Mus musculus: one gene and its partners. The protein of the gene in region 7 interacts with the protein of the main gene of each other region in a pairwise test. Links are inferred from orthologs where the notes say so. Each region holds a gene or a part of one and is shown on either strand. Other genes may lie near its edges. The genes, in order: Syt11, Snca, Rad1, Tomm70a, Rgs2, Gpr37 and Prkn.

Region 1 (3,853 bases), on a different chromosome or scaffold from region 7:
AAAACCCAAAAGAACAACAACAACAAAATCAGATGAGACACTACATAGGCACATAAAGAAACTAAGTGAGCCAGCCTTTCATCCTAGTACTTGGGAGGCCGAGGCAGGTAATCCCTGTGTGATCTAAGCCAGCATGGTCTATATGGCAATTTGGAGGACAGCCAGGGTTACATAATGAAACCCTGTCTCAAACAACAGTAGCTTTGCAAATGTGCTCTGTGGCTTTAGCAGGAAGGCAAGGGTTTGGGTCACCTCCTGGGCAGTGAGCAGAAAAGCTCTAAAGCCCAGATGGGCTCCCACTGTGGGGCTGGAGTGAGGACTAGTTTGGCCCCAGGAGAGGCACACTCTTAACAAGAATGGAAATACTGTTTTGACATAACTCTGGTCTCTGTCTTCAGATGTGTCACCGGTAGCGGCTGGCCTCATCGGGGCCTCCGTGCTGGTGGTGTGTGTTTCAGTGACTGTCTTTGTGTGGACGTGCTGCCACCAGCAGGCAGAGAAGAAGCACAAGACCCCGCCATACAAGTTCATTCATATGCTGAAAGGCATTAGCATCTACCCAGAGACCCTCAGCAACAAGAAGAAAATCATCAAAGTTCGGAGAGACAAAGATGGCCCTCGGAGGGAAAGTGGACGAGGGAACCTGTTAATAAACGCGGAGTCTGGCCTGCTGAGCCACGACAAGGATCCCAGAGGGCCTAGCCCTGCATCTTGTATGGACCAGTTACCCATCAAAAGAGACTATGGGGAAGAACTGAGGAGCCCCATGACAAGCCTGACCCCTGGTGAGAGCAAAGCCACCTCCCCATCCTCGCCAGAGGAAGACGTGATGTTAGGCTCTCTTACCTTCTCCGTGGACTACAACTTTCCCAAGAAAGCTCTGGTGGTGACAATCCAAGAGGCTCACGGGCTGCCAGTGATGGATGACCAGACCCAGGGCTCCGATCCCTACATCAAAATGACCATTCTCCCGGACAAGCGGCATCGAGTGAAGACCCGAGTGCTTCGCAAGACGCTGGACCCGGTGTTCGATGAGACCTTCACCTTCTACGGCATCCCGTACAGCCAGCTGCAGGACCTGGTGCTGCATTTCCTGGTGCTCAGCTTTGATCGATTCTCTCGGGATGACGTCATCGGAGAGGTCATGGTGCCATTGGCTGGAGTGGACCCCAGCACAGGCAAGGTTCAGCTGACCAGGGACATCATCAAGAGGAACATTCAGGTGAGGAGGAGGGGTATGCAGGGGAGGGATGGTCGAAGGGGGCATGCCAGATCTCAGCGGAGTGAGAGGAGGGTCCGGAGAAAGCCGGTAACAAAGACATGTGACAGAGAAGTTACTGAGTTCTTAGCTAAGCTGTGCTCAAAGGATAACAGAAGGCCAGGCAGGTGTGTTCCTCTATGAAGCAAATTCCGGGAGATGAAAGGGCAAGTTGCTTCTAAGCTTACACTGAGTGCTTGGTATCCTAGTGCTACATCCAGCTTGTGTGGAACAGACTGGTCCACCAGCCCTGGACCCATTACAATTAAAGGATAAAGGTGTCAACCTGATATTCTAGAACCTGTGTTCTTCCTTGAGGGAGCATACATCTCACTGCTGAAAAAGTATAAAAATTAATTCACTTTTTCCTCAGCTTCCTTTCCTAGGTGGGTATGAATGTTATTATGATTTTTTTTTGACATGGGGGTCTCTCTCTATATATAGCCCTGGCTATCCTGGAACTCATTAATAGGCTGGTGTCAACTTCACAGAGATCTGCCTGCTTCTGCCTCCCAAGTGCTGGGATTAAAGGCATGCACCACCGCGCCCAAATTTTCTATTTTTTGTTTTTGTTTTTTGTTTGTTTATTTGAGATAGGGTTTCTATGTGTAGCCTAGAACTCACTCCATAGAGCAGGCTCAGTCAGAACTCCACCTGCCTCTGTCTCCAGTGCTGGGATTAAATGTGTGTGTCACCACTGCTCCACGAGTTTTGAGACAGGGTCTCGTGTAGACCAGACTGGCCTGGAACCTAAGCTGGATTTGTGCCCAAAGATGACCTTCAGCTCTGGCTCTCCCGGCCTCTGTTTCCCAAGTGCTGAGATTATAGGTGTGCCGTGGCTGTGTCTTCCCGCTTTCCTTTTTTTTTTTTGTTTTTGTTTTTGTTTTGTCTTGTTTTGTATGTCTTTTTTTACATTTGTATGTTATTTATTTGTAAGTTCCGGGGGGGTCACATGTGTGTCACAGCAAGTCTGTGGAGATGAGAGAACAACTGGCAGGAGTTGGTTTTTTTCTCTCCATTCAGATCAGGCTTGAGAGCAAGCACACTTTCCCACTGAGCCATCGCAATGGTCCCTGAGCATTTCTTTGAAAAATATTCTTAATATTATTTCTTTGGGGGTGTTCTTGTCTGTGGGTGTGTGAGTGTGCACGCCTGCCTGAGGACACCAGAGGGAGTTGGATTCCTTGGAGCTGGAGTTTAACTGTCTGATGTGGGTGCTCGGAACTGAACTGAGTCTCTGAGAACAACATGCGCTCTTAACCACCGAACCATCTCTCCAGCCCCTGTGTATATCTTTTTATAAGCATGCTATGACTTCAGTTTAGCGCAGCGCTTCATTTTCCAAGCCCTAACCTTTAACACAGACCTTTCGTCTACTCCTCTCCCTGCTTTGCATTGGGAGGAAGCTCAGGGCCTCCACACTGCCCTTTCTCCCTCTCCCCGTTCAGGAATATTACTCTGGAATTAACGTCCTGAGTTCAGAGCATATACAACCACCCCTCCAGAGCATATACAACCACCCCTCCTGGCAGTTCATCCATGGACGTTGGGGGACAGAACAGGGCTGCTGGTACACACTGTTGCTGGAATCGACTGCCTGACACCTCAGCGTCTGCGTCCCAGCTGCAAGACAGTGGGCACCTAACTCCTCTCAGTCTGTTCCCCTCAGCTGACAACACTGCCTCCCCCATTAGGTCACAATAAGGAACCAGGTAACGTGCCTGGCGTATTATTATCCTTAAGAAGTTCTCACCTTATTGGAGGAAAAAGACAGTTGTTGGCAGTGTTTGTTTGCAACCCAGAGGCCAAATGGTTGCTGGGAATTGAACTCAGGACCTTTGGAAGAATAGTCAGTGTTCTTAACCACTGAGCCATCTCTCCAGCCCTGAGACTTATTTTTTAATGTTGATCAAGAATCTGGTGGAACAGCCTGGCGTGGTGGGGCACGCCTTTAATCTCAGCACTCGGGAGGCAGAGGTTCTGAGTCCGAGGCCAGCCTGGTCTACAGAGTGAGTTCCAGGACAGCCAGGGCTACACAGAGAAACCCTGTCTCAAAAAAACCACACACACACAAAAAGAATCTGGTGGAACTGAAGATGACCTTGAACTCCTTGTTGTCCTCCCTGCATCCCATGCGCTAAATCCCATGGGGTTTAGGTGTGCACTAGCACACAGTGCCTGCAGTGCGAGAGTTAGACCCAGGACTCACATGTACGTGCAAGCATGCACGCTATCAATTGAGCTACATTTCCAGCACTTACTTTTATTGTTTTATTTCGTGACACATGGGGTCTTACTATGTAATTCTCAATGGCCTGGAGCTTAATACATAGACTGGGCTGGCCTAGAACTTACTATATAGCCTAGGCTGCCTTTTTTTTTTTTTAAGATATTTTCTTCATTTATATTTCAAATGCTATCCCCAAAGCCCCTTATACCCTCCCCCCACCCCCGCCCTGCTCCCCAACCCACCCACTCCCGCTTCCTGGCCCTGGCATTCCCCTGTACTGGGGCATATGATCTTCGCAAGACCAAGGGCCTCTCCTCCCATTGATTGCCGACTAGGCCATCTTCTGCTACATATGCAGCTAGAGA
Region 2 (4,574 bases), on a different chromosome or scaffold from region 7:
TACTTAGTCAGACCTCCTTGCAGAAGAGACTGGAGCGGAGACAGAGACAGTAGCTGGAAGCACACTTTGACCTACTGCTTAGTCATACATACATCCTGACCTCTATCTAAACAAGATGAACTTGGGGCACTAAACCTCTGTTCCTCTTCTTAACGTGGCCACATTGAATTACTCCCATTTCTAGTATTTCACTATTTATATGTCACTTTACCTGGCTGGTTGAGGACAGGTGTCCTAACTTGGCAGGATGGGGATGCTAGAGCCCAGGATCTAACCCTATCTACTGCAGAGGTGCCACCTTTTCCTTTAATTTCAAGTAAACATGGTATGTGCCACTAGTGTGTAGGAAGGTTGATTTTTAAAGGGAATAAGAATTGAAGGCGTTGCTTAAACAGTTAATTTCTGTCACATTACTTGTACTCTGCATTTGTGGTTTTATCTGCCTCCTTCCTTTATAGCATGCCAAACAAGCTGCTTGTCCCTTGTTTCAAATGCTTTTTTAGACTTCAATTTATTTATTTATTTATTTATTTATTTATTTATTTTTCAGGATTCAGAAGTCAACTGACTTCAAGGATCAGAGAAAGCATTCCCTCCTACGACCCCCCCCCCCTTTTAATACAGTAAACGCTTGATTTAGCTTCCAGTGCCCAACACAAGTTCAGAATACAAGAAAGGAAAAGCAAGGCACTCTGCTGGGGGAGGAGCTTGGCACTCAAATCCACTCTGCTATAAAACAGTGGTATTCTGCTCATCTCAGAGAGAAGTGGGAACGTGTTAAGTAACACAGAAATTGTCTCAAAGCCTGTGCATCTATCTGCGCGTGTGCTTGGATTGGAAGAAGAGTCTGTTCGCTGGAGCTCCACGCAGCCAGAAGTCGGAAAGGTAAGAGGTGTGCAAAATCTGCCATTAAGTAGGGACTAAGGAAGAAACTGCCTGTGATGGTCCCAGAGGGTGAATCCCACAGCCGCTACCTTCCTATCCTGTAACTCTATAGTAAGCCACTTTCTCAAGTGCAAAAAAGCCTTGAGGCAGCTGGTTTTCGACGGTTGGGGGATATTTATTCCTTGCTCCACAGATGGGGAAAAAAAAATCAGCGTCTGGCAGCCGCTGATTGGTGGAAAAGAAAATGGTGATAGTGGAGTGGGAATGAGGATTTGCTGAGCCTCCCCCTGCTTCTTCGACCTGTAACTCTTCCTTAGTCGGCTCCCCTTTGCACCCAGAACCCTTTTAGACTCCTCCGGGGTAAAAACAAATGGAAATCTTAAGCTGTGTGAACAAAAGCAACCCCAAGGGTGTGTGCTCCCTCTCCATTGCCTGGCTCCGCACACAGACCATTTCAGGCGGTCCAGCTCTCTGGTGTGGCATCTGGGCTCGTCCTGGAGGAGGGGGTCGCCTAGAGGAACTGGGAACAGACTGAGGCAGGGAAGGAGGGGGGTGGGGCAGGAGAGGCGCCAGCTCAAGTTCAGCCACGATAAAACTGAGGGCCCTCTGAACTCGAGGGGAGGCTCAGGCCGTCCTCTCTTCCTTCCATCCGGGGGAATGTGCTCCAGATACCCACAGCCCTCACGCACCGCACCTCCAACCAACCCGTCCCCTCCCTAGGAAGAGGAGCGAAGGCACGAGGCAGGCGAGGGGCGGGGAGAGGCGCTGACAAATCAGCTGCGGGGGCGACGTGAAGGAGCCAGGGAGCCAGAGCGCCCGGCAGCAGGCAGCAGACGGCAGGAGACCAGCAGGTGTTCCCCCTGCCCCTGCCTGCCCTTGCCTCTTTCATTGAAATTAGATTGGGGAAAACAGGAAGAATCGGAGTTCTTCAGAAGCCTAGGGAGCCGGTAAGTACCTGTAGATGGGGCAGCTCTGGGGATCTTAGCTAGCCGGAGCAAAGAGCCGGGACGCCTAGAGAAGACCAACTACAGCTGCTTTGGCGGTGGGGACTGGGCCAGTGCGTGGAAAGTACATCACTCGGCTTTCCTTTCGCTGGAGACATGCCCTTCCATCCTGTCAAAGCCCGAGGGAAAGGCCAGGTTGCCTGTGGCATCTGCTTTTTCAAGCGGAAACGCTAGGGTGTTTCATGTTGAGTGCTGGATGGTGGAAGCTTAGTGCTGGGCATTGGGTGGAATTTGAGCATCCAACTTTCATGCTCCAACCCCAGGCATTTCAGCTTCTTTCTGTAGAGGAAGAAGGGTGCCTTTGGCCCATGATTAATAGAAGTGCAGAGGACAGTAGGCAACAGGTGATAAAGGGTTAATGAGCATGGGGTGCAGGGTCTTCTAGAGGATTCCAGCTGAGGACAGAGCTTCTTGGTTGGGTGGTGCTCAAGTGAGACTGCTCAAGTGTATGGACAGCGCCTGCTCTGGGCAGATAGCAGGCAAAGAGCTAGTGGTGGGCAGAAGGTCTTGCAAGATTAGAAAGGCTGGGCTTCAAGCAGTTCCCTACTTCTAGATTAAACAGTTCCCCTCCCTTCCTTCTCCAAAGACTGACTCCTCTCTGGGTCTTTTATCCTCTTGCCCCCACTCCATCTCTGTACGCCCACCTCCCATGTTCCTTTTCTAGATAGTCTTTTTACTTTGAATGTAACCTTTGGGCCCTGGGAACTTGATGGGGTAGAGGATGCCCACCTCCCCTTCTGCAACTCTTCTTCTGAAATATGTATGTAAGAGCAGTCGAATGATCAAACTAGATCCATCCCATCCTTAAGTGACATGACTTTTTCCTAGTATTGAGTGACATAACTCAACAATCAATCAACACTGTGCCCAGCACCCCCACATCCCCCCACCCAAGAAATCACACTTACACCAGGACTTGGGGGAAGGCATACTGATTTTTCCCCCTCAATTTCCTTTCTTTCTCTAGCTGTTTTAAACCTTATTATTATTATTTTTTTACCCAAATTTTCTAATTCAAAATGTATTCTGTATTCTCTAGTGTGGAGCAAAAATACATCTTTAGCCATGGATGTGTTCATGAAAGGACTTTCAAAGGCCAAGGAGGGAGTTGTGGCTGCTGCTGAGAAAACCAAGCAGGGTGTGGCAGAGGCAGCTGGAAAGACAAAAGAGGGAGTCCTCTATGTAGGTAGGTAGTGACACTGTGACTAATGAATTGGGGTGGCTGGTGTGTGGTGTCTGATTCGTGTGCATCACAGCTTCTCAGAAGAGTGACAGCTGTGTGGAGGTGAGAGAATATGAACCTGCATATTAGCTCTCAGAAACAAACAGGGACAATGTTTTCTGTCCTTAGATTCATTAATCTTGTTATTTATGTAGGTTTTTTATTTGGTTTTCTGTTTCTGTGTATGAATACACTGAATTTTAAAAATTGGCAACCCATGAAAAATAACCAAGAATATGCTTATGAATCAAAGACATGTATGGCAGTAAGCCTGGTGGCATTTGGGAAGTGGAGGCCCAAGGACCAGGAGTTGATGGTCATCTTCAGCTACACAGAGAATTTGATGCCAGCCTGAACTATGTGAGAACACACACACACACACACACACACACACACACACACTCACACTCTCTCTCTCTCTCTCTCTCTCTCTCTCTCTCTCTCACACACACACACACTCACACACACACACAATACACACACACACACTCTCTCTTACACACACACATACACACATACACACATACACACACACACATACACACACACACACACTCACACACACACACAAAGAAATAAAGAAATAAAGGAAGGAAGGAAGGAAGGAAGAAAGAAAGAAAGAAAGAGAAAGAAAGAAAGAAAGAAAGAAAGAAAGAAAGAAAGAAAGAAAGAAAGTGAGCCACAAGTACTCATGGGACTTTGATTTCTTTCATCATCACTATAGGTAATACCTGCTAAGTTTAATAAATTATAAAGCTTTAAACAATAGTTTTGCATAATTTTATTTTACAACTGTGAAAATACAACTCCTTTGACCCTCAAATAGAAGAAAGAAAGCAAGTCTTCTTTGGTGGATCTCCTTTTAGGGATCACTTGGTCAGTGGGAACAGCGGGACTTAAGGAACTTCAGAAATGTTTGTTTAGTTCACCTGTCAGAGATCATACATGCTGAACAGTAAGAGGTTGATATTTAGTGCCATTTTCTGCCTGACTGTACACATTGAAAGGAAGGCCAACACTCCCTTTCTCTGTCTTTCCCTGTGTTAAATTGGCTGTAACTTTACAAATCCCTTCTAGTACTTTCATGGAAGGAATAGACACCCATGCACACATGCTTATCCCCAGCAGAGACACAGGTGCACATGGGAGCACAGTTGCAGGGTTCATCTACCTCTCTTTCCTCCTGTGAACACTGTTTCCACCTTCTTAGGAGGGCATCTCTCTTGGTGGAAGACTCAGGGTAAACATTCAGGCTGAAAAGGAGCAGAACAGGTGGCAAAAGTGATGCAGATGCTACCCAGAGTACCAATCGGGGGAAGCCATGCTGACCCTCCAAACGATCAGTGAGGAATTGATACTTGTAAACATTTTCATGAATGTGTCTTTTCATTGAAGTTTCTAGCAGATCACCTTTCCTAATTCTTCACAGAATAATTTTACATTGAATTAATTCTCTTTTTCTA
Region 3 (4,288 bases), on a different chromosome or scaffold from region 7:
GCACATTCTCAGCTAACCAGCTGAGTTTAGAATTTCTAAACCCCCATTTAATGCCGTTGATGAATTTTTTCCACCACCCCCCCCCCCTGTCTTTCTAAATACATAAATTTAAGCCTTTCTTTGAAATTCAGCTAAAAGTTACTATTAGGGTGTTTCCTTACCACCCTAATAGTAGTAATTGTCTCATTAATTCCAATTCATATATCATAGTGTGATTCAGATTAGTTCCCTTCATGTTTCATGTCCAGCTCCTAAGAGGGAGCGCACTAACTTTTATTGAAAACCAGCTAATTTTCCTCAAAAGTCACTTTTATCCTTTCAGACAAAGGTACAAGATTTAACTGTTAATTAAAAGTGGGGTACAATGTCCACATTGCCTCACTCAGTACTTGAGTACTACACTAAGCACAAAGGACTAACAAGTCTGAGGCAAGATTTCCTCCATACAGATACCTTCCTTAAGGAGTTTCCAGGTGACTGAAAGTAACTCCAACAAGAACCTGCTGGCCTTTAGAAGAGACACACAGTTTTCTATGAAGCCTTCTTTCCTTCTAAACTCCAATATTTCTGGAGGAACTCTTGTTCATTATTTCCTAGATGCTAAGGCCAGGGAAGCTCATCTTGGTATAAGTGTGTCGCACTGTTTGACACAGTAAAACTAGTGGTCTAGGACCCTTGAGTTAAAAGATCTAACCAAACAAGTCAGAGTCACAGACTCACAGGACTGTAGCTTTAAAGGCTTGGCAAATAAATAAATAAATACATACATACATACATACATACTTCGGTAATCCTATGTGATACGGACCAAAACAGAAGGAATTTATAGTTACACCAAAAAGACTCTGAGAAAAAAAAAAAAAAAAGACAAAGGAAAACCATTACTCTGGGGAGGCGGGGTGGGGGTCAGTAACTGGAAGACAAGGATCCTGGAACTAAACACCCATTAAATCAACTCCCTGTTAACTGGCTTAGGGTCTACGAACTGCTGTCTCCAGGAAGAAGGCCATCTACACGAAAATTAGACATAAACACTGTCCAGTCCCTCCAGGGAACCCTAAGCATAAGATCCTGTCAAGTTTTGACTGGAGTCACTTCGCTGCTTCGGTGGCCCAAAGGTGGGTCAGAGCGCCGACTCCAACTTCGGGAGTCGGGCCTCTTACCTTGCAAACCGGACCTGGAATACGATCTCTATTTTCCTCCTCCGCCTCTTTGGCCACATCGGCCTGCTTAGCTGGCTGCCCGGCATCTTTCGAGCTCCTTTTTGGCTTCTTCGCTTGAACCTCCAAGCCTCCACGCCGCTTTCTCTTGGTCGCCGCCATCTCGCCTCGCCGCGTCGGTCGCTGCCTGCACTTCCGGTTCTGCCGCTCGCTCTGCCTTCCGATCTCTATGGTAGCCCACGTTAGGCTGTGAGTTAAGTCATCCGGCTCCAAGGCGCTCGCTTCCGGTCTCGAGGTAGACTCTCTAGGCACACGGCGGCTCGGTGGTGACGGTGGCCTAGGTGGTTGCGTATCTGAACGGTGGCGGGAGCTGTTTGCCTGGCTTGCTAGCTTTTTGGACGCTCAGGGTGTTCTTGGGGCTGGGGTGGCAGGGGCTTTGAGGGGTCGGACGTCACCCACAGCCTGGCGCCAGGGGCTCCCTTAGTGGCCGCTGTGCGGCGAGCGGGCCGAAGTCGCGTTCTCCTGCAAGCCAGGTTGGTGGCGCTCAGAGGTGCTAAGCAAGCCCGGTTACCCGCGCCTTTTAGAGCTACCCTGTGAACTGCATTCAGTGTAGAATACCGTAGTTTTGAGACATGAAAATAGAATGATCTCGATTTCGGCTCGGGTTGAGGTCGCCAGTCCTGTCCGCACTGATAGCGAGGTTTGTTGTTCCGTGTCTCAGGTTTTCACACATCTTCCGGAAGAGGAGCATCCTTCTTCTCGGAGCCGACGGTACCGTGGACCATCCATGCCTCTCCTAACCCAGTACAATGAAGAGGAGTACGAACAGTACTGCTTAGTGGCCAGCCTTGACAACGTTAGGAATCTCTCCACTGTCTTGAAAGCCATTCATTTCAGAGAACACGCCACGTGTTTTGCTACCAAAAACGGAATCAAGGTTACAGTGGAGAATGCAAAGTGTGTGCAAGCAAATGCCTTTATTCAGGTATGGGGGAGTGAAGACATTTTTAAAGCATTCCCTAATGAATGAATTTGGAAGGACTTAATTCAACAAAACTCAAGTTAGTGAACAAAATGTCGTTACTTTTTTTTCTTTCCTGCCAACAAATACTTTCCCCATCTTGTCTCACACAGATAACGATTACTAGTGATAGTTTATTAATGACTCTTCTCACCATTTTCCTCTTTTAATCTTTACACATATAGACACTTTCTCGTTTGACATAGTGGCACCAGATTTAATTTTCAGTAGTCTTACAACTGATTGAATTAGGGCGAGAACCCTATTTACTCTTTACAGTATTATTGTCATGCACGTTTTAGTTTTTCCTCTTATTGGCTGTAATTTTTCCTCGGAGCATTTTCCCCCGGAGATAGAGTCTAACATGTAACCCTGGTTACCTGGAACTTGGTTTATAGACCAGACTGGCTTCAAGTTCTTGGAGATCCGCCTGCTTCTGCCTTGCCTCTGCCTCCCAAGTGCTGGGATTAAAGGCATGTACCACCACTGCCTGACACTGAATTATCCTATCCTTAAGTGACTTTAGCTTTAAGGGATAGGCACAAGACAGAGTTAGGGCAAGTTCACATAGGTGTTAAATTTAGATACAGAAATGAAGATGAAGAGCCCTTACTAGGGGGTGGTAACTTTGTGGTGTTTGGCTTTTTAATATTTTTAGAAAGGTTTATTTTATGTATGTGAGTACATTGTCTTCAGACAGACCAGAAGAGGGCATCAGAACCCATTACACATAGTGGTGAGCCATGTGGTTGCTGGGAATTGACCTCTACCTCTGGAAGAGCAGTCAGTGCTCTTAACCTCTGAGCCAACCTCCAGCTCCTGGCTTCTTAATTTCGTGTGTATGAGTGTTTTGCCTGCATGAATGTCTCCAAAAGGCGTGTACCTGGTTCCTGCCAAGTTCCTGTGAAGGGGGTGTTGGATCCCCTGAAAATGGTTACAAAAGGATTTTAGTCACCGTGTGGGTGCTGGAAATTAAACCTGTGTCTTCTAGAAGATTAGCAAGTATTCTTAACTGATGAGCCATCACTTAGTGTTCCACGTTTAATGATTAAACCATTCAGTAGTATTCAAGTGGGGAAAGGTTGAAAACTTAGTATGTCTTAGTTGGGAATGAGAAATACTCTCATGGAGTTGGCAGAGTATTGTTACTTTCTAAGCATAAAGTGAAATATAGACGTGTGAATTTTCATTCTTTAATATAATCCACTTTCATGTTTTCATGTTTGCTTTCTCATAGGCTGACGTGTTTCAGGAATTTGTCATTCAGGAAGAATCTGTTACTTTTCGAATTAACTTAACTATCCTTTTAGACTGTTTATCTATTTTTGGATCAAGTCCTACACCAGGTGAACTATTTTACTACTACAACTACTGCTACTACTATTGTTGTGGCATAAAAGTATTTATTATGGTTAAAAAAATAGAAAATACATACAGGAAGGTTTCTAGAATATAAGCTTTTTAATTTTTTTTAATCTTTTTTTTTGGAACAGAGTCTTATGTATCCCAGACTGGCCTTGAGCTCCCTGTGTAGCTGAGGATAACCTGGAATTTATCTTCCTGCCCTTGCCTCAAGTGATGAGATTATAGAGATAGGCAACCATTTATAGTTTTATGTGGTGTTGGGGATTGAAACTGGCACTTCATACGTGTTAGCCAAGCACTCGACTACAGCTGAGCTACGGCCCCAAGCCCAACAGTATTTTGTTAGAAAACTAACTTCTCAGGGAAGGACTAGTGAGGCCCCACCCCTAGTAGAGATGCTTTTGGCAGCTGATGGCAGCTAGGGGAGGGAAAAGTCATTTCTTTGGAACAAGTTGAGGAGTCCTAGGGAGGGAAGTATTAGGCCCTAATAATTAGGGGGTGCATTTGTATATATGAATTAAATTTTTAAAGAATAAAGGGAAACTGATTTCCAATTCATTTTCCTCCTAGTTGTTATAATCATAGGACATAAATATTTAAACTACAAGTTGAATGTTTGTTTTAGTTCTTTACATATTTGTGAAGGTATTTATTCATTTTAGGTCATCCTAATAGGCAAGGTATGTTATTACCTTACCTTCCTTTTTGCTGTGAAAAGAATGACTGACAAAGCAGTTTTAGG
Region 4 (3,853 bases), on a different chromosome or scaffold from region 7:
GCTGCAAGACTGCAAACTTCCTTCAACAGCCACGCCCACTACACCTAAACATGAAACAGATGTAATGAATGACAACATCACAAAGGGACTACTAAGTTCCACCGTTCAACAATTTATGACAGTGTCTTCAGGGTTGAGTTGAAGAGGGGGTAAACTTCTTTGAAAAGAGTCAGTCTGTTTCCCCTGTGTTTATAATGTCGGCGGTTTTAATCCGTATTTCTTTGCTACTTCTGTCTGGGCATGGGCAGCATCACAAAGTGAATACAGATGAGCCATCTCCATTTCCGACTTGGCCAAGTTGATAGCTTTGTTGAACATGTCAATGGCTTTCTCCATGTTTCCTCTAAAAGAGCAAAAATTCAAAGATTCTTCAACAAGCAGTTCTTAATAACCAATAAAGTTTAACTGTGCTGCATGAAGCCTTCGATTGTAATTCTAATAAAACGTTTCTTTCATAATAAAAAGGCCTAGCACAGCATACTGAAAACACTAATGAATCCACCTTACACCCCAATATATTCATCTCCTCCTCTCCTCCCAGTCCCTCCTCCAACAGCTCTTCCCCTACTCCCTCTCCCCTTCTCCTCTGAGAAGGGGAAGCCCCTGTGAATATCCGTCCACCCTGGCACGTCACGTCTGCAGGGGTAGGCACATCCTCTCTCACTGAGGCCATCATGGCAGCATATTCTGCCTACATTATCTTGAATCCTTTGTTAAATATGGGAAGACTAGGGTAACTAAGTTGGTTACTTAAAAACCCTAATTTTCCTGGTTCCTAAGCCTGTATGTTTCTGGTCAAATATGAGGCTTCTGGCAATACAGAGCATTAGTAGCCCTCAAACGCTTGCCCCTTAAAGGACTGACTCCATACTCTTACTACCTTATCTCTCACCCCAAATGCCATGCAGTCAAAGGTCAATCCCAGTTCCCTGACCATGTCAACCCTGATCACAAAGAGCCTCAGGTTATTGTCTCTGTTTAACTCTGTTCAAATCCCTACCTTTGAGGGCCCACTTCAAATATAGTATTGTATACTCTACACCTAAGAACTAAATACTTCATTCCCAATATTCCTCACAGTTCTCTTGGGCCCATATACATAGGGAGACGACTTTACTAGCTCATTCGTACGTATCTTTCAGTTCAAGCAGCTAAGTACAAAGGTTAGTAATTGCTATCTGTTTTTGAATAAATGGATCAACATGCTATAGCTAATAAAACTTTCCTCTTACATTTAAGAGTGACTAAGTTATATAGTTACTAAGAAACAACTGATTAAGGGAAGTAGTGTTATCTATGTATGCAAGCATGTGCATAATACTTAACTAAATGCGTGTAATCCTGCAACTAAGATCAAAGTCAAGCCTAGTTAACTCAGTATCACTAAAGGTGGCCCATATTTAACTTCCTATAGTATATGGCTAACACAATGAACTATTTTTGGTTTATATGGATCTGTTTTGATAATAGCTAGATGACCTGCAAAATATTAGTATAACCAGCAATGCCAATCACTCAACTTTAAAGTAGGATTTAGATGAACATTTTTTTTTTTGAGACAAGATTTCTAGCCCAACCTTACCTAAAACTCCCTATGTAGCTCAAGAGAACCTTGAACTTCTCTGATTCTCCTGCATAACCTCCAGAGTTAGTTTAGAATCTGTCGCGTGGCCTGTTGTAGTGCTGGCGAATGAAATCAGGCTAGCTAAGCACTCTATCCACGAGGCCTGATCCCCAGACCTACAACTGACCTTTTTTTTTTTTTTTAAATTTCACATGCACCAGTGTTTTGCCTGCATGTGTGTCTATATGAGTGTGTCAGATCCCCTAGAACTGGAGTTATAGACAGCTGTGAGCTGCCATGTGGGTGCTGGGAACTGAACCCAGGTCCTCTGGAAAAGCAGCTCGTACTCTAACTACTGAACCATCTCTCCAGCCCCTAAAATGGCTCTTACAGTACAAAGAAAATTCCCTCAACCCTTGTCCTCTTAAGGTAGCCTCTATGAATACTCTAAATGTCAAGTGTTTTTATATGCACTAATCTAAGAAGAATCTAGAGCTTTGCTCAAGCATAATTATGAACCACTGTTCTATCAGTAAAAGAATTATTTGTAATGACACATTAACATAAGAAATGGTATTTGTATATACCTGCCATCAGAAGAATCACATTTTTTTCGTCAGTCTTTTGGAGGAAAGAGAGCCACAGGAAGAGCAGACAATAGGTAATTAAGAGGACTTATCCTGGATCTTGACAAGTGATAGTGGCAAGATTAGTGCCTGACATCAGCAAAGTATGGACTCAAGTCTTGTCCTCAGTCATGTGTCACAGTGTGACTTTGTTAGCCTAACTGGCCTGGGCATTAGTTTCTGTACACCTCAATTTTATCTTGGGATCACTATAAAGATGAGTTTAGGCCAACAGAATTGCGATCTGGAAGAGACTGAAGACCAGTACTTAAGGGGCATAGTCTACTACATATATAGTAGCCAACATTAAATGTAGACCGTAAGGGCGACTGTGGGTAAATATTTACACTAAACAAGTTACAGGAAATCAGACTTGTTTAAAAAAAGTCCAACTAAACCGGAGGTTTCATGAAAATTCAGCGGCTCAGCTTCTTGGCTGGTTGCTTCTTTGTAGCGGGATCCAGATTCCAATACAGCTTAGCTATCTGTTCCTTGTTATCTGACACTGACTAAACCATACTTCAGGTATTTCTGGCCTTCCCACAGGAAGGATAAACATGAAAAAGAAAATCATACACAATAAAGACCTAGTTTCACCTTGTAAGGCACAAGCCGGATAGCTTTTATAAGTGTAAGTAAAATGAGGCAAATCCGAATTCCCTAATTTTTAGGGAAGCCTGCATCAAAAGTACAGCAAGCTTTAAAACTGTAATAGATATTGGTTTACAAGCCAACATACGTAATGAGAACCAAAGACAATATTACGTCTCTAAGAAGCAGCTTGATTAGTTACCTCTGCACTTCAATAGTCCCCATGGTCTCATATGCAAAGTCACATTTGTTGTCAATTTCAATAGCCTTGCTGATAAGCTCCAAACCTTTATCCAAATCTTGCTTCCACTGAAGTTGAAGTAAACTGGATTGGAGTAGGGTGGGGGAGACAGTTAGACGGACCCAATACTGATAAACATATAAACGTATGATTTGGGCTCTGTTCTCAATAAACAAAACAATTTATAAGGAAAACAAAGACTACAGCAGATCACACTGAAGGCTTCTGGTCTCTATTTCTGATGTTGAGTGCCTGGCCACAGATTTGTAAGTCAGGACTCAGTATTCCTTTTCTCTATTTCTAAGAAACAGAGACAACTGATTTTTGTATGCAGATACCAACCCTGTTTCATTCCCTTCCAACTCCTGCCCTAGAACCAGTCTGACTCCTGGGAGCAAGACCTAGAGAAGACTTTTGTGGGTTACAGTCTCTCTCTCTCTTTTTTTTGGTCTCTTTTCTACTATGCTAGTGGCACTGGCTGATTTCTAGTTGTTTACTCAGTCTGTTGTTTCAGTTGTGTTTGGCTCTATTTCATGGAAATAAAAAGTATATTAAACCCATCATGAAAAAATTGTTCTGAAAATTAAGGCATCTTCTCCTTTTACTCTGATAATATAAATTACTTTATCGTTATAAAAATAAAATTGTTGCATTATTTTCAATTTACTGACTATATTATAAATTCTGAATATCATACAATCATTTCAAAATATTAAATGTAAAAAAATACTTGTTTTACAGCCTTTATATTTTTCCCCATTTATGTGCATGTTTGGTTCTGTGAATGTATGGTGCATACATTCAAGGGTTAGTAGAGACCAAAAGAGGGTC
Region 5 (4,600 bases), on a different chromosome or scaffold from region 7:
ACTTAGTACTAAAATATTAAAACTAGAACTAACACCACTATGTGGTAACATGGACTAGTTTAGGGAAGGTGTACAGCCAACTAGCTAAGGCCACATAATCCCAGACCTATTGATTTTAAATGCTCCAACAACATTGCATCGGATCTTTCATCTCAAACTCTGCTTTCCCGACAAGGAGGAAGAACACATTCAGAGGCCTGTTCCCTCCCTCTGTTCTTCACACAGTGAGGGAAGCCGTTCTCACACAGAGCCTCTCCTAGGTTGCTGACTTCCTGATTCACTACCCAACATTGAATCAATAGTTCTGAGCGATGTTTTCCTAACACTCAGGCTGAATTCAAGGTCAGTTTTTTTTTTTTTTCTGGCAGGTCACAGCCTTTGCTCTTGGGAGACAGAATGGAATGTCCTTTGTGTGTGGGGGGACTCCTGGTCTCATGTAGCATGGGGCTCCGTGGTGATCTGTGGCTTTTTACATAAGTCCTGGTAGAATTCGGACTCCAAGAACCGAGGATAAGAATTGTTCTCCATCAAACTGTACACCCTCTTCTGAGCTGTGGTGAAGCAGCCACTTGTAGCCTCTTGGATATTTTGGGCAATCAGAGATTTCGTTTGGAAGTCTATGTTTATCTGAAAGAACAAAACAAAAGTCCATTTATTGGCTAGTCAACACTGCAGATTGATGCTTAATAATAAAACATAAAGGTGTAACTTGTGATCAGTTATAACTGTCAACTTTGGAGAAACTTAAATGTTAGGACAGCTGGGATGAGAGGCGCACAGGGCTCTTCTCACTTGTGCTTGAATGTGGTGTATTCAAGTCTCAGGTTTCAACAGTGTTGAAGGTGATCTGAGGCGCCTGTCTTCTTACCTCTTTGGGAGCTTCCTTCTCTATGAAGTCGGTATAGATTTTCCTTGCTTTTGAGGACAGTTTTTGGGGTGATTTGGTTTTTTTGAAGTCTTCACAAGCCAACCAGAATTCAATGTTTTCTTCACAGAACTCGGACTTTAAAAACGCCCTGAATGCAGCCAGCCCATCTGGAAGCACAGGAAAAGCAGCATGAATGGAACGACCGAATTATACACAGTTCTTCTGCACAAAATGATCAGTTTCCTAGACTTCATTCAAGCCTGTCATTCTCTAGGTCTGGCTCTTTAAGCACTAAGATGCCAGTAGGCAAAAATGCTTAAGTTTGTAGTCTGCAACAAAAGTATACTTAACTTCACTGGCACTGCAAGACCAGTGTTTATAGGCCATAAGTTCACTAGGAACTAGGGCTTTTGAAAATATTCTATGCAATGGAAAAGCTGACTCAACCACAGCCTGAGTAACTGGCATTTTAATTTTTAGGCTAACTTTTCTTCCCCACCTGAGGTGAATACCTCTTGCTTCCCCATGATTAAACCCAGTGATATAAGGGAAAGAAAAAGAGGCTTTGAACTGTCAGTGGTGGTAATGTCTAATGCACTTCTTGCAATCATTTCTAGGCTTTTAAAGATACTGGTGAGAGATCACATTCAAGAGGTGAACTTACATTTACTGGCCAGCAGTTCATCAAATGCTTCTGCCCAGAGCTGCGCTTCCTCAGGAGAAGGCCTGCAAGAGAAGTTCCGCAAATGAGCTCCCCAACACACATCAGTTCCCCTTCCCCTTTTGCTTGGCTTGGTTAGATATTCATCTCTGTAACTACAGGATCCGAAACTTACTTGATAAAAGTTTGCTGTTTGCTTTTCTTGCCAGTTTTGGGCTTCCCAGGAGCAGAGGAATTCTGCAAGAAGTAGCTCAAACGGGTCTTCCAATCCTTTAAGCTGGAAAAAAAAAGAGAGAAAAAAAAAATACTTCAAGTGGCAATTCTTGAACGGTCAAACTATCATCAGCTGCAGTAGCTACAAACAAAGCAGATGAGTCTCTCCCTCTTAGCTTTTAAACCCAGCACCTCAGAACACAGTTTTATCCATTCATCCGACTATAATGAGCTTTACAAGCAGGATAGGACTACATAACAGCCAGGGTATTTTAAATTTTCACCAGTTATTTCTGACCTAATAAACAGGTAGTGGATTTTCTGCATGGTTAAACTACAGCTTGCTGTCATTTTTCAATTGAGAACAGCAGTCTTGACCCAGCTGATGTTTCTTCCCTTTCTGCACTGGGGGTAGGAGGGTCTGCACTATGCCAGAGACAATGCATAGGTGTGTGTGTGTGTGTGTGTGTGTGTGTGTGTGTGTGTGTGTGTGTGTGATGGATTCCCTAGCTCCCCTCTGCGACCGCCCACAGTGCTTCTCCGCAGCAGATACTGCAGAGCAAATTACTCATTCCATAGTCGTGACTGGGTGAGCCCTACTTTATGATTTAAAAATGGATCTCATACATTGCGAATCAACTCAAACATCTCCACCCAGCAGCTATGCAAGCAGCTCAGAACTAACAATGCAACGTCCAGACGCCGGTGGACGTTATTCAGCTACAGGATTCTGATGCCACATTAAATGCAGAACAAAAAGCCAACCAGCCCTTCTCAGATCATCTACCGCCACCTTCTTCAACCATTTCCTATAGTTCCTAAACTCTCGGAGCTCACATAGAAAAAAAGCAAATACCACCATATCTAGCAAGCTAACCCCCCACCCCCCAAGCCCCCACACTTTCTCTGCAGAGGTGCAGACTAGAGAGCATTCAAAGCCGAGATCGAGGGAAGGTAGGTCCCTAGCAGCAAAGCCAGGCTGGGTATGAAGAGCTCTTCGGGAGACAGGGCATACTCACAGTGTCCGCTTCATTTTCTCCCGCTTCTCCTCGACCTTGGGGCCGTTGCCTGCACTCTTGTCCATGGGTACGCAGTCGTGCTGGACAGCCAGGAACATGGCACTTTGCATTCTCAGACTCCCGCGGCCACCGCAGCTGTTTGAGGCCGGGAGCGCGCCGCGGGCTTTTAAGGCGGGCGGCGGCATAGGGGCGGGACCTGGAGGCGTCAGCCACGCCCCAAGAGAGCGCGGATTGGCTCGCTGCAGACGGCACGAGGGCGGAGTCGCCCCGGCCTGTGGCAGTCACGGCAGCCCCCGAAGGGCCTGGAAGCGAGGGCGCTGTTGACGTAGGCGCCGCATCCTCGTGCGCACACAGGGTGGGAGGTGGCGGGCGGGGACACAGAGAGATTTGGTAGGCACTTCGGGCAGCCACGCGGTGAAGGGTCTCCGAGTTCTTGGCTTTTCCTTTACTGAAGACCGTACCTTTTACTCGTGTGCGTGTGTGTGTGTGTGTTCGCGCGCGCCCCACCTTTGTATCTATTGTTCATCCGGACACCCATAAACTGCAGCTGGGATGGGGAGAGCCCTGCTGGCTGCACTCAGCAACTCTACCTATTTTAGAGAAGGAAATCAAACAACTAGAAAAACCTGAAATATGGACTGTTGAGTAAGGTGCTGTAGCTCGCTCAGGCACCTTGGAATTCCTAAAGGGAATTCCACGCTACTCAGGGAGGAAGCGGGAGAAAGTTTCTATTAAAACCTGGTGTTTTAACCAGTTCTGCAGTTTTGATCTTTAAATGCATGGCTGCAGCAGGCTGTGGCTTTGCAGGGTCGTTCCCCAGGAGACCCGAGGGGCATCTCCTGCGGGGCACAGCAAAGATCAGAGAGATAGGTGAGAAATACAAAGGGAAACCCAGGATCTCGCAGTTCTGCTGCACACGGATCATGTGTAGTTTCAGAGCGTAAGGAATCAGGATTTCCTCATGAGTCATTCACGGTTGAACAGATTTAGGAATTACTAGATGTTCAACTGCTTAAGTTAAGGTGGCGGTGCAGTGGGGGCTAGAGCTAGATGTGAGAGCCGGTTGGTGTAAAGAATTTGTTTGGGTAAGCTTCATTTGTGAGAACCCCTGTCTCTGCTCCTGCAGGGTTTAATAAGCCCTGATTTGTAAGAACTAATACATGACTTCAACTACAAACTGATTCAGCTTCCTATGTTACCAGAATGATGCGGCGGAATACCTAAGTGGTTTTCCCATAAAGTCTGAACAGACTAACAAAAAGGTACGGCTTAGGCTCTAGTTATTCTGATTCATACTAGATCTACTAAAAGGAAAATGAAGACCCATTCTCAAACTGGGAACCAAGCAACACATTGTGACAAGCTGAGGGTAGTTTGAGTCAGAGATCAAAGTCTGCAGTCGCTAATGAAGAAGATTGGTATAGCCTTATTATAGAAGGAATATCATTTCGATTTTAGCAACAAATACTTGATAGCATGCTTATGAATCTGTAAGATGAAATTTTTAATAAGCCGAAAAGATCTGCACTGTTTCTACATTTGCTTTAATTTCTGACGATTTAATACATATTTATTAAGCTTGTGTTAATAAAATAGTGTTGCTCGTTAAAATATCTGTAATGTGCAGGCATAGTTGACTTTTTTTTAACAATACAAAACAGGACTTTTTTTTTCTTACAACCCTGGGTATTAAAATCATCAATATAGGTCAGGTGACCCTTGACACTTGTGGCTGTTAGCAGGTGTAATCAGAGCCAGTAGTTGCTAAGTCTCTGTTAGGGCAGTCACTTTCCTCCTGCCTGAGCCCTAATTTCTCATGACTAAGAGCAGCAATGTGAT
Region 6 (4,320 bases), on a different chromosome or scaffold from region 7:
GTTTCCATTTTCAGTCATCCAACAAGCTGGTGCTGAACACTACCTCCCTGTGACATGTCATTTGACACTTAACCTTTGGTGAAATCCCGTATTTTAATTTTTGTCTAACTTTTTCCAAAATAGTTTTTTGTTTTTTTTGACCCTTGTCAGTTTTGTTGTTATGTCTGGTGTCTGTGCATCTGCCCATTTGAACCTCAACACAAGAAAAAAAATTATAAAGATTTTCATAGTCTACTACCCTCTCATCTCTCTCTACCTTTTTCTTCTTGGGTCCCTTGTGTGTGCACAAATTTATAACCCGTGACACTCTTTTCATCTCCAGATATTTAAGTAAGTCTCACTGTAGAGTTCCTTTTGCTATGTAAACACATATTCACAAATGACAGTGCTTAGGACGTAGATAGTTTGAGGCTCTTTACTGCAATTGTATTTTTACTGTATTTTCTATTGTGCCCTTAGATAATTCTTCTGTTGTTGCCTTTGTCTCTATCTCACATGTTTATTTCTTCCCCTTTTAAAAATTTGGTCCGATATTTGTCTGTTTTCTCAGCTATACCAAGATTGCTACACGGGGTTGTGTGTATATAAAAATTGGAAAGGCATGGGCATCGTGATGGGAGTTCGGTCCTCCTCAGTTCTCAGTTCTGAACATATCAAGGTTGCTGCGTTCCTCCTGCTCCCTGTGATCAGCTCTAACTCCACCTCCTGGTAGGATGCTTTCAAAGTCAATGTTAAAGGTAACGGGACACCTGGATCCTTCTTACCTTACAATCTACTCTCTTACCGAGTGAATGAAACCAATGAAGTCTGTTTCTTTTCTGACTCTGCTCTGGGGAATCTAAGACTGTGAATGTGTCACTATTCCCTGGGGAGTCTGAAGCCTGAGCATGCGCACCAGTTGCTACCAATTGTTGCAGATCTCAAGAGGCTTGCCCTTTCTACCTTCTCCTCCAGGGATCCCCGCCTGCACCGGGGGTCCTGAGATCCAACCCCCTCCTTAGTGGTGACAGATTAGGTCGGGTTGGTTGGACTATCTAGGGCAATAACCCATGGAGTTCACGTCCTCCTTGCCTTTAGCCGTGCAGATTCGGCGCCTCCGCCCTTGTTCCCGGGTCGCTCCTAGCTTCCTATTGAAAGCTACTGCGAACGCCTTGAATGAAACGTGTGTGGGTTTAGTGTGTGGTAAAACCACCAGGGGATCCCGTCTCTCCACAAACCAGATGCTCTGCTAGAAGGAGGACGAGAGGGAGGCGACCTGGAGTGAAGCCCGCGCAGTGGCTGAGCCGCTGGGAGAGGCCGGGCCACCTCCCCTGTCCACCATGCACCGCTCCGCCCGCCAGCAGCGGTTCCAGGCACCACGCTCTCCACCCGGGTTGCGATGGTGGTGGCAGTGACAAGCTCCTGCAGCCCACAGCACTGTGCACAAAACAGCAGCGCCCTCTCCTCCCTCTCGCTCCACTCCACGCCTTCTCAGCCCGTGCACTAGGCGCAGCCGCTGGCGCCATCCACTTGTCAACTTTGAACTGAAGGAGCAGCAACTTTGACAGTGGCCGCGGGTTTCGAATCTGGCTTCTCCTTGGCAACAGTCCCTTTGAAAGTCGTCGGAGTTAAACGAAGCAAGAGTTTCCTCTGTGCTCCGGTGGTGCCTTGTTTGCAAGGGTCCCCACCCCCCACCCCCCCGCCAGCCGAGAGTGGGATTGTGACAGCCAGTCCCCTAGTGGAGCGGACTTGTTTTTCTTTTTCTCTAGAGACCTCTACTAGCGACTGGATAAAGCAGTATGGAAAGGATGTAAATAGCAGAGCAACTGTTACCAAGAAGACAGCCACCACCCAAAGGCTGGGAGGAGCGCGGGGCTTCCTCCAGGCTGCGCCCAGTCGCAACATTAGGGAACAATCAGGTGGTGTTCGCAACTTTTCAAGGTCAGCCTCTTGGATCTGTTATTTCCCTGGGAACCTTCGGGTGCACCGAGCTTGGATTAGATTTGGCTGGGAAATGCTCAGAACATGAAACGTGGAAGGATTGTAGGGATGTGTTGATGACACCGTCCTTCCCCAAGCGCCCTGTTCCCTCCCAGCAATCTTCTGCTCCCATCCTCTACCCAGCGGTGAGTATGTGACATGTGCCTAACTCTCTGCACCAAGTTTGGCAGCAGGTGTCGGTGCTAAGCTAGAGCCAGGCTAGTAGGTGCGCCCTCGCCGAGCCATGCCAGCCCGGGGCGCGCCTCTCTCGCGCACATCGCGGCTGCTGCTCCTTCTGCTGTTTAAGGTTTCTGTCTCTGCTGCCCTGAGCTTTGTCCCTGAGCCCAGGAATGGAACTTGTCTGGGGGAGAGCTGTTCCCCACTGATCCAACGCCGCAGCAGGGATGCCCGTGGACCTGGGAATTCGGCAAAAGACGCTCTGCGAGTCCATGTGCCCAGAGAGAAACTGGAAGCAGAGGTGAGAGGGGCGACCTCTTGGGACCTCCCACCACCCAGGGGCGGTGACACAGGTGTGATTGAAGAAGCGGCGGCTGCTGGGCCCTTGGGACCTCCAACCAAGCCACCAAGTGCCTGGAGATGGAAAAGTGCCCAGGGTAAAGAACCATCCGGGCATTTGAGGAGAAGGGACCCCACGGATCCCCAACTCTTCTTTCCGACATCGGAGGGGGGAGAGATGAGTTCCAAGCGCGATGGGATTCCCCAGAGCAGGCAGGAGCACAGTGTGAAAACGGAACCCAGAGATCTTTTTTACTGGCCACGAAGAACTGGACAACTCCAGGATTCCCAACACAGGCCTTCAGCAGTACACGAAGGAAGGACCCTTGCTCCTCCAGGCAGGGCACTACCGCAAAACGGGTCTGCAGATGACTGGGTTCCTGACCAAGGGGGTCCACGCCGTGGAAACACCACGCGGCGCGTGAGATTGAAGAACCCCTTCTACCCATTGACCCAAGAATCCTACGGAGCCTATGCGGTCATGTGCTTATCTGTGGTGATCTTTGGGACCGGCATTATTGGCAACTTGGCAGTGATGTGCATCGTGTGTCACAATTACTACATGAGGAGCATCTCCAATTCTCTCTTGGCCAACCTGGCTTTCTGGGACTTTCTCATCATCTTCTTCTGCCTCCCCCTGGTCATCTTCCATGAGTTGACTAAGAAGTGGCTTTTGGAAGATTTCTCCTGCAAGATCGTGCCCTATATCGAGGTAATGACCTCTAGCTACTGCCTTTTTCTGTTTCCGGAGAATAAGCACCTACCTGTGGGACTCTTTGCTTCTTTCTCTGAATCCCTTCTCTTTCCCCCAGTCACTTATGCAAGCACGTGTGTGTATGAAAGAAAGCAGCTTTGCTAAACCATCTTCAAACTCCATTGCTCCTAGCCTGGTGTGTGTGTGTGTGTGTGTGTGTGTGTGTGTGCGTGTGTGTGCGTGCGTGCGTGCGTGTGTGTGTGTGTGTGTGTGTGTGTGTGTGTGTGTGATAGTTCTATATGTACAGCTTTTCTCTGGATATGATATTTTTGACTTGGTATCCTGGGTTAAATAATGGCCAGCCCATGGTTGTCTTTATGGGAACGTAGTACTGGGGGTGGGGTGGGGGAGGGATCATTAATATTCATTTACTAAAGTTCTAGTATTTCATCGTGATTCCACCATGCCATCCCCAAGAGAGGCAATTGAGCTTTTTCTCATTTTTAACTACCAAAGCTGAGGTTATATTTTATGTATAAAAGAACATCAATTTTAGTTTTTGTAGTTGGCCTCATGATATATTAGGAACCTCCAAATTAGTTTAAATTGGTTAAGATATCTACCTTATTGTTTCCTCTACATTGTTAGGACTTCTTTGTGGATCCTTGTTAACTTTTAGAAACAGTTCAGTTTTCTGGATAAACTTAAACAAAAATAAGACTTAGTCCAGTCTCCTATAATCTAACATTTGTAGAGCATAGGACACAAATTTGCCACTGCTATGGCTGTGAAGAATAAACAATTTTAAAATGATTTATAGGTAACATAAGAACAATTCTGAAGTAAAAAAGGAGTTAGCTTCCAAACTTTGAGATGAAAATTGTTTGAACAAGACAAGGTTTTACTGCTTCATGCTAGAGCTACTGTACCCGTCGTTGCTCTAGCAGTAGGAATTTGCTCTGTAAATTGGCTTCTCTTTAAACACCAGCTCTTGGAACCCACCCAAGTGTTTGGCTGCCAGTTGTGGTTTTAGCCAGCTGGGCCTTGATTTTTCTCCATTCAGGCTGTCCATTTCATTTATAGAAACACAAGAAGGGAAACTGTAAATATTCCAGAGCCTCTGATCCTGTCTGGCACCAGGGCCAGTTGAC
Region 7 (2,861 bases):
GCTCCGTGCACGTTAAGCATGCACTCGACCTGCTGAGCCCTCTGAATACCACAAAGGAACATATTCTCTATTAAACGTAGTATACTGTCCCAACTCCTGTTGATAAATTTTGTAGAGCCAAGTAACACTGAATAAATATGTGAAAAATAAATAGATATGAACCTCGGTGTATTTTATACTACGTAACTAAATTTTTAATATGAATTTAAAATCATGTGTTTATTATGGTTATATATTTTTTAAAATGAAGAATCGCTGTCTATAAAATGTGAACAATTTGTGTCTAAATGAGGGAAAAGAAGAGAACCTCAGATATGCAGATGGGATTTGTTCCATTTCTCTAGAGCATCCGGACCCAGGAGCTGCCTCCGCTGCTGTCTGGTTGTTCACTCTGGGTCAGTCTCTCTGCTCTCATTGCTTGAGGTTGTTATTCACTACAAGAGCTGTTTCTGGAATGGCAGGTTGGCACGGGGAACAAGGGCTCGCCCGTATTTGTTACAAACCCACAGCGTCTATGTCCTTTGTCCCCACAGGAGGATGTATGCACATGAAGTGTCCTCAGCCCCAGTGCAAGCTGGAGTGGTGCTGGAACTGTGGCTGTGAGTGGAACCGAGCCTGCATGGGAGATCACTGGTTTGACGTGTAGAGAGAGATGTCACTTGGCCCTGGACGCACAACCTCAAGGGAAACTCCGAAGATTCCTACCTTCCTTAGCCATTTCTTCTTCTCGATGCATATAAGCACATAAATGCGCACACACAAACACAGGCTGCAGATTACAGAAGCAGCCCCTAGATCCTTTCCAGGGCACCCACAGAAAACCACAGCACCCGCTGGCCCCAGGGGGAGGAGGCACTTTCAGCCTCTGGCTCACTCGAATGTCAGAGCTTAGATGAGGGTGCACCTTTGGTTTGGATTCTGTAGAAGCCATGAGTGAGGTGGGAAGTGTTTTCCAGGGTTGTTGCCACGCCCTGGGTAAGTAACACCTCTGAGGATTCTCAGAAGCACACTTGAGATCTGAGGAACGCTGCTCTCATGTAGTAATCATCTATTCCCAAAGGGCCCCCTGCAGTAGTCAAAACTATTTGTTTATCCCCCCAAATCCTATCTTTACAAATGGTGCTGATGAGATTACAACCCCTCTGTGTACTAATCAGCTTATCAACCAAGTGAGAACCTAGGAAAGCTAATTGGATGGCAGACTGCTTAAATCGCAGGGAGGACTCAGAAGCCAAACCTACTTCCGTTCGTTTCATTATCTGCAACTTTAGAAAGAAATGATCTTTTTTTCCCCCTGAAAAGATAACAAAGTCTGCAATTTGGTTTGGAGTATTCCTACTGCAGCCTGGAAGTTTAGCTTCACTGTGAATTTAACAGAGAAAGTGCCTATAAAGGGGGCGTTTTTAAGAGACAATCCCATGATGCTGCGCCAATGCTAACAACAGGGTCAAGAAACACAATGTTTATAGAAGGAGCATCCCTCGACCATCTGAATGAGAGTATGCCTGACCCCTTCCACCACAAGTGGGGACACCTCTGCATATCTGCTCCCTCCTCTGCTGTTAAGCCCCAGGGAGCCCCATCCACCCAGTGGTCCTACAGACAGGGCAATACACACACACCAAGATAGCCTTCAGATCAACATGCATCACACTCAAGTGTTAATCTTTCAAGGTTTTCTTTTCTTTTTCCTGTTTTTTATTTGTTTTGCTTTTGCTTTTTTTTTTTTTTTTTTTTTGGTGGTGGTGGGGCTACCAAACTTGAGGCCTAGAGCTAAAAATCATATAGAAATGATGTTATCTTGTGGTGTGAGGAAAGGCCAGCTGGCCTAAGTTCACACTTTTGTCCCAGTGGCCCTAGACTCCACCCAGCCAGCTCCCAAAATGAAAAGACCACCTGTCAAGCAGCAGTCAGGAGTCTGATGTCACCCATCACTATTTTTTTTCCATCATTGTGCTTGCCTCTGCCTCCTTCCACACCCGTGTGACGTAATCGCATTGGGAAGCCAGGACAATGTTTGCTGTTCTGCTTTGGGTAAAGGGACTCCCTGAAGCTCTGTGGCTCTCCAGTATGGTCCCTTTTCCTTCCTAACAGATGCATATGTTTTCTTCAGAATACAATAGTGATTCTTAAAATAACCCAAAAGACAGGCATCCACAGTGTGTGAGCATGAATCACAGCCTGCATTGTGTGAGTGTGAATAGTGGGATAAAAGTGGATGTCAGAAGAGTGGAAATCAAACCTCTGCAAAGCAATCTTTCTCTTTCTGTGAAGTGTATTAAGAAATACCTGAAGTCTGTGTGTGTGGTGGTACCCAGACTGTCAATCAATAAAGACCCAGACTGTCAATGAAAGAATCAAAAGCGTGTTTGTACCTATCCTTGGGATTGCATTTCTGATCAATTTTGGAGATGTGGGAGGGAAGATGGGCCGCATTTCTCTGTGACCTCTCATATGTGTTTATAGAAGGGGCATCTCTGGATCATCTAAACGAGAACTTGGAAGCATCAGCCACTGGGGGGGGGGGGGAATTGGTCTCTTTTCTTTCCATAATTAACCTTGGGGGCTCTGCTCTCCTAATTATCAGTATTTCAAAACAAGATCTCATTCTGAAACCTAGCAGTCACTTTCTTGCCTTGCTCACAGACTTGCCCAGATAAGTGTTAACAAGGGAAACTGGGTCTGGAGAGTCTGGAGAGATGACTTAGAGGTTAAGAGCACTTGCTGCTTTGGCAGAGGACCAGAGTTCAGCTTGAAAGTACCCAGAGGGTAGCTTGCAACTGCCTAAAACTCCCATTCCAGGGAATTTGATGCCCTCTTCTTATTTCTATGGGCTCCTTCAGGCGCATGGTACTCAGGCA

Evidence for each region.
Region 1: the proteins of Prkn (region 7) and Syt11 interact in binary tests that used the Homo sapiens proteins (3 or more experiments, as listed by UniProt). The link is inferred for Mus musculus from reciprocal best matches to the Homo sapiens genes PRKN and SYT11.
Region 2: the proteins of Prkn (region 7) and Snca interact in binary tests that used the Homo sapiens proteins (3 or more experiments, as listed by UniProt). The link is inferred for Mus musculus from reciprocal best matches to the Homo sapiens genes PRKN and SNCA.
Region 3: the proteins of Prkn (region 7) and Rad1 interact in binary tests that used the Homo sapiens proteins (3 or more experiments, as listed by UniProt). The link is inferred for Mus musculus from reciprocal best matches to the Homo sapiens genes PRKN and RAD1.
Region 4: the proteins of Prkn (region 7) and Tomm70a come close enough for resonance energy transfer, tested with the Homo sapiens proteins (3 studies listed by BioGRID). The link is inferred for Mus musculus from reciprocal best matches to the Homo sapiens genes PRKN and TOMM70.
Region 5: the proteins of Prkn (region 7) and Rgs2 interact in binary tests that used the Homo sapiens proteins (3 or more experiments, as listed by UniProt). The link is inferred for Mus musculus from reciprocal best matches to the Homo sapiens genes PRKN and RGS2.
Region 6: the proteins of Prkn (region 7) and Gpr37 interact in a two-hybrid assay, tested with the Homo sapiens proteins (2 studies listed by BioGRID). The link is inferred for Mus musculus from reciprocal best matches to the Homo sapiens genes PRKN and GPR37.

Annotation. Positions count from the first base shown.
Region 1 is NC_000069.6:88,759,095-88,762,947, reverse strand, and holds part of Syt11 (synaptotagmin-11), read left to right. Parts: intron 1-398; coding exon 399-1,222; intron 1,223-3,853. UniProt on the Homo sapiens protein: Synaptotagmin family member involved in vesicular and membrane trafficking which does not bind Ca(2+). Inhibits clathrin-mediated and bulk endocytosis, functions to ensure precision in vesicle retrieval.
Region 2 is NC_000072.6:60,825,982-60,830,555, reverse strand, and holds the start of Snca (alpha-synuclein), read left to right. Parts: upstream 1-1,551; 5' UTR 1,552-1,832; intron 1,833-2,928; 5' UTR 2,929-2,954; coding exon 2,955-3,075; intron 3,076-4,574. UniProt on the Homo sapiens protein: Neuronal protein that plays several roles in synaptic activity such as regulation of synaptic vesicle trafficking and subsequent neurotransmitter release.
Region 3 is NC_000081.6:10,484,572-10,488,859, forward strand, and holds the start of Rad1 (cell cycle checkpoint protein RAD1), read left to right. Parts: upstream 1-1,446; 5' UTR 1,447-1,693; intron 1,694-1,881; 5' UTR 1,882-1,947; coding exon 1,948-2,145; intron 2,146-3,418; coding exon 3,419-3,527; intron 3,528-4,288. Other genes in the region: Brix1 (ribosome biogenesis protein BRX1 homolog), read right to left, coding at 1,164-1,322. UniProt on the Homo sapiens protein: Component of the 9-1-1 cell-cycle checkpoint response complex that plays a major role in DNA repair. The 9-1-1 complex is recruited to DNA lesion upon damage by the RAD17-replication factor C (RFC) clamp loader complex.
Region 4 is NC_000082.6:57,149,073-57,152,925, reverse strand, and holds part of Tomm70a (mitochondrial import receptor subunit TOM70), read right to left. Parts: intron 3,107-3,853; coding exon 2,984-3,106; intron 344-2,983; coding exon 190-343; 3' UTR 1-189. UniProt on the Homo sapiens protein: Acts as a receptor of the preprotein translocase complex of the outer mitochondrial membrane (TOM complex). Recognizes and mediates the translocation of mitochondrial preproteins from the cytosol into the mitochondria in a chaperone dependent manner.
Region 5 is NC_000067.6:144,001,248-144,005,847, forward strand, and holds the start of Rgs2 (regulator of G-protein signaling 2), read right to left. Parts: upstream 2,903-4,600; 5' UTR 2,872-2,902; coding exon 2,762-2,871; intron 1,807-2,761; coding exon 1,705-1,806; intron 1,595-1,704; coding exon 1,533-1,594; intron 1,036-1,532; coding exon 869-1,035; intron 628-868; coding exon 433-627; 3' UTR 1-432. UniProt on the Homo sapiens protein: Regulates G protein-coupled receptor signaling cascades. Inhibits signal transduction by increasing the GTPase activity of G protein alpha subunits, thereby driving them into their inactive GDP-bound form.
Region 6 is NC_000072.6:25,686,980-25,691,299, reverse strand, and holds the start of Gpr37 (prosaposin receptor GPR37 precursor), read left to right. Parts: upstream 1-1,319; 5' UTR 1,320-2,203; coding exon 2,204-3,187; intron 3,188-4,320.
Region 7 is NC_000083.6:12,061,008-12,063,868, forward strand, and holds the end of Prkn (E3 ubiquitin-protein ligase parkin), read left to right. Parts: intron 1-533; coding exon 534-646; 3' UTR 647-2,359; downstream 2,360-2,861. UniProt on the Homo sapiens protein: Functions within a multiprotein E3 ubiquitin ligase complex, catalyzing the covalent attachment of ubiquitin moieties onto substrate proteins. Substrates include SYT11 and VDAC1.